Linked DNA regions of Canis lupus familiaris. The protein of the gene in region 2 interacts with the protein of the main gene of each other region in a pairwise test. Links are inferred from orthologs where the notes say so. Each region holds a gene or a part of one and is shown on either strand. Other genes may lie near its edges.

Region 1 (3,912 bases), on a different chromosome or scaffold from region 2:
ATATATATATATACAAGTTGAACTCCACCACTCTCCTATCACTCTTTACACTACTCCGGTATTTCTCATTCTGGGTTGTGGTTGTATTGGTGGCATTCTTTTGAGGGAGGAGGACCGGGCAGATTGTCCTGATCAGATTATGGAGTGATCCTAGTACTCCTTTCCCCAGGTCAGTGACTGTATCAGACATGGAAGGGAAGGAGGGGTGGTAGTGTTAGGTATTCATTCACTGTTCTGTTAGCAAAGCTAAAGTGAGCACAGGTAGAAAGAAAGAAAAGAAAAGAAGAAAGGAGAAAAGTAGCTGTTTATTTAATCAGCATAACAGGAATCCAGGGGCATGTGTCACTGCTATTTTCAAATATTTGCAGGGCTGGGATGGAGAAGAGATAACATGTAAATTCTGCGCAACCGCTACGGGCTCCCCATCACTGAACATGTTTAAGCAGGAGACTGGTGACCAGGTGTAAGGATGCTGGAGGAAAGAATTTTTTAATTTAGAGTCAGATAACCTTTAAGGTACCTTCTACCTCTAAAGTCTTGGCAACACTAGCGTGAGTCATCAAGACATTACAATCTGGCTGTGAGTCACAGTCGCCAACGCGCTGAAGGCCCGAATCCTCCACTCCCCCAGGGCTGGCACATCACCGCGCAGCCAGGCGAGGAATTCCAGCCCGCGGGCTGCATAGAACTTCTACAACAAAAACTTCTCTAAGGCTCCGCGCGGCCAATTAGCTGATTCCAGGCTTCTGTTACGACCAACAGATACAATAAAGCACGCATCCCAGACGGGACCTGGCAGAAAGACGCGCACCCGGACGCTCCGAGGGACGGGCTCCGCGGCACTCTGCCGAGGCCACACAAAAGCCGCCTGAAGCCGGCGGCAGGTTACGGGCGGGGGCGGGGGCGGGCAGGGTGGCCCGGGGTGAACGGGCGCCCAGCGAGCCGACACGCGCAGGGCACAGGGACAAAGGCCTCGGGGACAGCGCGCTGGGCCCGGACACCCGCACGAACGCCCCGGCCGGAGTGGCCAGCAGCCGGCGTGTGGGCCCCGCAGGGTCCTGTCGGCCTCGGGGGAGCCCGCGCTGGGGCCGGGGGCCGGGGGGGTCGGGGGGACCGGGGAGACCAGGGGGACCAGGGGACCGGGAGGCCGGGGGGACCAGGGGACCGGGGGCTGGGGAGACCGGGGAGGCCGGGGGGACCGGGGGACCGGGGGCTGGGGAGACCGGGGAGGCCGGGGGCCGGGGAGGGCCAAAGGGGCCGGGGGGGGGGACCAGGGAGACCGGGGGCCGGGGGGGGGGCGGGGAGTCTCGGGGGGACCGGGGGGGCGGGGAGAGTGGGGGGCGGGGAGACCAGGGGGACCAGGGGACCGGGAGGCCGGGGGGACCAGGGGACCGGGGGCTGGGGAGACCAGAGAGGCCGGGGGGACCGGGGGACCGGGGGCTGGGGAGACCGGGGAGGCCGGGGGCCGGGGAGGGCCAAAGGGGCCGGGGGGGGGGGGGACCAGGGAGACTGGGGGCCGGGGGGGGGGCGGGGGGGCGGGGAGTCTCGGGGAGGACCGGGGGGACTGGGGGAGTGGGGGGCGGGGGGGCGGGGAGTCTCGGGGGGACCGGGGGGACTGGGGGAGTGGGGGGCGGGGGGGGGCCGGGGATCGGGGGTCCAAGGGAGCTGAGGCTGGGGACCGGGGGTCGGAGGCGGCGGGGCGATCGGGGACCGGGGGCACCGGGGGCCGGGGGAGCCCGGGGGGATCGGGGGGGCCAAGGGGGCCGGGGGGACTGGGGGCCGGGGGAGCCGGGGGTCGGGGGGGTCTGGGAGGACCGGGGACTGGGGGCCGGGGATCGGGGGCTGCGGGAACCGGGGGCGGGGGATCGGGGGTCCAAGGGAGCTGGGGGCTGGGGGCCGGGGGTCGGAGGGGGCGGGGGGACCGGGGGCACCTGGGGGCGGGGAGGGAGGGGGAGCCGGGGGGACCGGGGGAGCCGGGGGTCGAGGGGGCCGGGAGGACCAGGGGGACCGGGGCGGGGGGGGGCCGGGGACCGGGGGCGCATCCCGACGCGGGTGGCTCGGGGCAGGCCGGGAGGCGCACCTGCCCGCGGGGCCCTCGGGGCGGCCCCCGGCCCCCGCCCGTCTCCTCCGCCGCCGCGCAGCCCCCGGCCTCGCGGGACCTCGGAGGGTCCAGACCGCCGCCGCCGCCGAGGCCGGCCCCCAGACCCCCGCCGGGCGGCCCGACCCGACCCGACCTGACCCGACGCCGCGGTCGTGCTGCGGAGTGTGCGGCAGGGCTGCCTCCCCGCCGGGCCCCGGGCCCCGGGCCGTGCGAGCGGGCGCCGCCATCGCGGGCCGCGGCCGCAGGGAGACGAGGGGCCGCGCCGGGCGCCGCTTTACCTGAGAGACCAGCGGGAGCAGAGTCTGCTCCACCGAACGAGTTTTGATCTCGAGTCCCGAGTCGAAGGCGAAGCCCGACGGGCCGGCGCCGCCGACGCCGGCCGGGCCCGAGGAGGCGGCCATGGCCCTCGGCCCGTCGCGCAGCCGGGACGCCGCGCCACTGCGGACCCGCCGCCCGCCGCCCGCCGCCCGCCGCCCGCCAGCCTGCACGCCCGCCGCCGCCGCCAGGGAACCGCGCCGCCTGGGCCACGCCCCCGCCGAGGCCACGCCCCGCCGAGGCCACGCCCCGCCGAGGCCACGCCCCTCTGAGGCCTCGCCCCCGCCCGGGCCACGCCCCCACGCGCTCAGGCCTGGGGTCCGCCCCGCATCCCCGCTCCATCTGGTCCCCGCCAGGACCCGCCACACCAGACACCTGCCACCAGCAACGCTTTTCGTCCTCCTGGTAGGTGACTCGTCTTAACTCCGAGTTCCCACGAGGACTTCTGGAAGCTGAGCTAACTGGTGGAGCAGAACCACAGTCAAGTCTGCCGGAAGGGTCTTTTACCCTGACGCAGTTATTCTAACGAAAAAGGGTCTTTCTGCAGCTTCTCCTGTAGGTCCCATTTCCCCCTCCTCCTCCTCTGACCCTATCTTTCTCACAATTTGGGCTGGATTGAGAATGAAACATTTGGTAATGCAGTCTTTTTTTTTTAATTTTTATTTATTTATGATAGTCAGAGAGAGAGAGAGGCAGAGACACAGGCAGAGGGAGAAGCAGGCTCCATGCACCGGGAGCCCGAAGTGGGATTCGATCCCGGGTCTCCAGGATCGCGCCCTGGGCCAAAGGCAGGCGCCAAACCGCTGCGCCACCCAGGGATCCCCTGGTAATGCAGTCTGAAGGAGTACGTCTGGGTTCGTAGCAACGAGGCAGTGATTTGGGTATCTTTTAGGCTAAAAGGAAATTAACTAGGGCATATGGAAAAGCTTCACCAAAGGGGGCTTGAACTCATGACCCGAAGATCAAGACTTAAGCTAAAATCAAGAGTCGGCTTCCTAACTGACTGAGCTACCCAGGCGCCCCTAAGACTACTTTTCAGGATTGCTTCTCCCCTAGGGCCTAGCACAGAGTAGTTTCCTAAAGGCTGTTTATCGATTGAGAAGATCATTAGTATACATTTCTCACTAAACCACTTAACAGTAAGGCTAAGAATCAGGAAGCCCCGACATGATCAGATGGGACGGAGAACAGACCACCCCTTTCCCCAGGAGTTCCAGAAGCAAAGCCAAAAGGTTGTCAGAAACACACACCACCCTGTGAGGGGATCCTTGGCTTAAGTACTGAGAGACATGGAGAAATATTTGTGAATTACCATATCTGCCAATAAGCAACTAGCAGAGTAGAAAATCTGAGGCTGGCGAGTCCACCCCTTCACTTTTACCCAGATCATTTCTCCATCCATGTCAGATTGATGAGCTCAATACCACCAACTCCAGGTGTCAGAGGCTCTTTGCCAAGCACTGGTGAGATGTGCTTCAAGTATTCCCACTTGGCGT
Region 2 (2,805 bases):
AAAAGGGGGATCCCTGGGTGGCGCAGCGGTTTGGCGCCTGCCTTTGGCCCAGGGCGCGATCCTGGAGACCCAGGATCGAATCCCACATCGGGCTCCCGGTGCATGGAGCCTGCTTCTCCCTCTGCCTGTGTCTCTGCCTCTCTCTCTCTCTCTCTGTGACTATCATAAATAAATAAAAAAAATAAATAAATAAATTAAAAAAAAAAAAAAAAAGGCAAATAGAAGGTATCCAAACATCATGATCAGGGCATATGGCTTGTCTGCTTCATCACATTTCTTTTTTTTTTTTTTTTTTTTAAAGATTTATTGATTTATTCATTCAGAGAGAGTGAAGAGAGAGGCAGAGACACAGACAGAGGGAGAAGCGGGCTCCATGCAGGAAGCTCAATGTGGGACTCAATCCTGGATCTCCAGGATCACACCCCAGGCTGCAGACGGCACTAAACCGCTGCGCCACCGGGGCTGCCCTGCTTCATCACGTTTCTTTAGTGGATTTTTTTAGTGTCAGACTTGGATCAAGGCAGAACATCCAGCTCAGGTATGTTCAGCCCCATGTTCTCACCATGGACCTTTTTTTTTTACTGCCCGTTTCCCTGGTAACAGCTTCCCTCGAAGCTTCTTGCTGGTAGAGACCTTGTTCACCTTTATGTTCTAAGCACCAAGCGTAGTGCCAGCTACATAGGAAGTAAGTGTCAGATGCATATCTATCAAATAAATTACAGTTCCAGCAGGTCACAGCATTCTAACACCCAGAATACCCATGACCCCCTGTCTGTGATTTAAACTGTCACTCGCACAAGTAAATTCTGAATGGGAACTCAAGAAACTAATACAAGTGGTTAACTGAGACAGGGGCAATAGGAAAATTGGACAAGGGTGGGAAAGAGATTTTCATTGTATGCTGTTATATTGTTTTGATTTCTGAATTTAAAATTTTAAATTTAACCTCAAAATCTAAACATTTCTTTCTCCCTTTTTCTAGATTTTATTTTTTAGTAATCCCTAGGCCCAACATGGAGCTTGAACTCACAGCTCTAAGATCAAGAGTCATATGCTCCACCAACTGAGCCAGCCAGGAGCCCCTAAATATTGATTTCAAATATGTGTCAGTAAATAAGATCACTAAGGAACCCAATCTAAATTTAGGGGCACACAGGAGCCAAGAGGGCACTTATTTCTCAGATAATTTTTGCAGCAGCTAATAAAGTATGTTCTAACTTGTTTCCTTGAGAAACTTTTCCCAAGGGATCATGTTTCTCCACCTAAATAAAAAATAACTTTTTAAGCAGAGTAAGATCATTTAAACATAGAAAGAGTTATAAGAGACATGTCTCTAAAGTATAGAAAGCTGGCAGTGGAGCAGGAGGCAGAGCAGGAGTCCAGGCTAATGTCTAAGGGGCAGGTGTGAATTGTTCTTCAGTCATGACAAGGGTTATAATAGAGAACCTACAAAGTCAGGACAGAGAGGTTCTTTCCTGCATTGTTACTGTTTACTATTAGTATACTCACCAGGGATGACAGTTTAATAGAACTTATCAAGGATGATTTACAAAGTTGCATGCTTTGTTAACAAAGACATTTAATAATTAAACATAAAAAGCAGCCTATTTTTGAATCTCCAGGTAGATAACACAGGCAAGCAGCAAAATCAGGTCTAGATTCTGGATGTATAGGTCTCAGAAAATGAGTTTCTATCTTTTAAAGGCTTATGTTACATCACACCTCCAGCTACATCCAAAACACATAGCTAGCCACAAAAACACCTCAGCCCACTCCTTCCTCATTTACAACACCACAGCTGGGCTCTGGGATCCTCATCCCCCCAAAACAAAGCCATGGAACACTTTGTCATTTCCCCCAACTTCCATAGTTAATCCTCTTTCCCAAAATAAAATCAATTCACCCTGCAGATGTTCTTCAAGGGCCCCTTTCCATGTGAAGTTTTCTTGTAATTTTTTCTGGATTTCTTCTAGGTCATGCAGAATGTCTTTCATTTTTCTCTCGGGTGTGTCAGAAGTCACTGGCTTTGAAGAAGCCAAGGCAAGGTCCGCCCCATCAGAAGAAGACTATTGATGAATCATTAAAAATAAATTAATTAATTGAAGTCTCCTAAGGTATGCATCAAGTTAGTATATTCTAATTCTGCCATCTATACTTTTCTACTTGCCTCCTCACAAATTTTTAAAAACATAATTAGGCCCTCAAACTACATGAAAGCAATATGGAAGAACACATAGTGCAGCCAAAAGTATTAAAGAGTGGTTATTTACGGGTGGTGGAGTTGTGGATGATGTTTGATTTCTTTAAACTGCTATGTATTTTCTAGTATTTTGTACAATAAATATGGATTTCTTTTATATATATATAAGCTATTTTTTTAAGATTTTATTTATTTATTCACAAGAGACAAAGAGAAAGAGGCAGAGACACAGGCAAAGAGAGTACTTTCTTTGGCTTACTTCTAATTTGTAGAACAACCTTCCACCATAGGTTGGTTATTCCCTTTTACCAAAGAAGTTGCAACTCATGGTGAACTCAGTCACCACAGTAAATTTTTTTGTCCTGCAATTGCCTACCACTTGAGCACTTTTCTTTTTCTGAGCACTTTTTTAGACCAGAGCTTTTTTTCATCCTCACATCAAACCAATGCAATGATCAAGTGTGAAAGTCAGATTCTCAGGCTTTCCTCCCCCTCAACACCTTGCAGCCCTGAAGACCCTGTCTCCACTCATTCAGTGAGTGTTTGCTGAGCACCTGCTGTGCAGCAAGCATCTTGCTAGGCCTGGGGCTACAAGAATGAACAAA

Evidence for each region.
Region 1: the proteins of RNF135 (region 2) and CTNNAL1 interact in binary tests that used the Homo sapiens proteins (3 or more experiments, as listed by UniProt). The two-hybrid records come from large-scale screens. The link is inferred for Canis lupus familiaris from reciprocal best matches to the Homo sapiens genes RNF135 and CTNNAL1.

The regions. Positions count from the first base shown.
Region 1 is NC_049232.1:64,526,976-64,530,887, forward strand, and holds the start of CTNNAL1 (alpha-catulin), read right to left. Parts: upstream 2,585-3,912; 5' UTR 2,503-2,584; coding exon 2,380-2,502; intron 649-2,379; exon of another isoform or gene 561-648; coding exon of another isoform or gene 528-560; intron 1-527. UniProt on the Homo sapiens protein: May modulate the Rho pathway signaling by providing a scaffold for the Lbc Rho guanine nucleotide exchange factor (ARHGEF1).
Region 2 is NC_049230.1:40,767,905-40,770,709, forward strand, and holds part of RNF135 (E3 ubiquitin-protein ligase RNF135), read right to left. Parts: intron 2,067-2,805; coding exon 1,904-2,066; intron 1-1,903.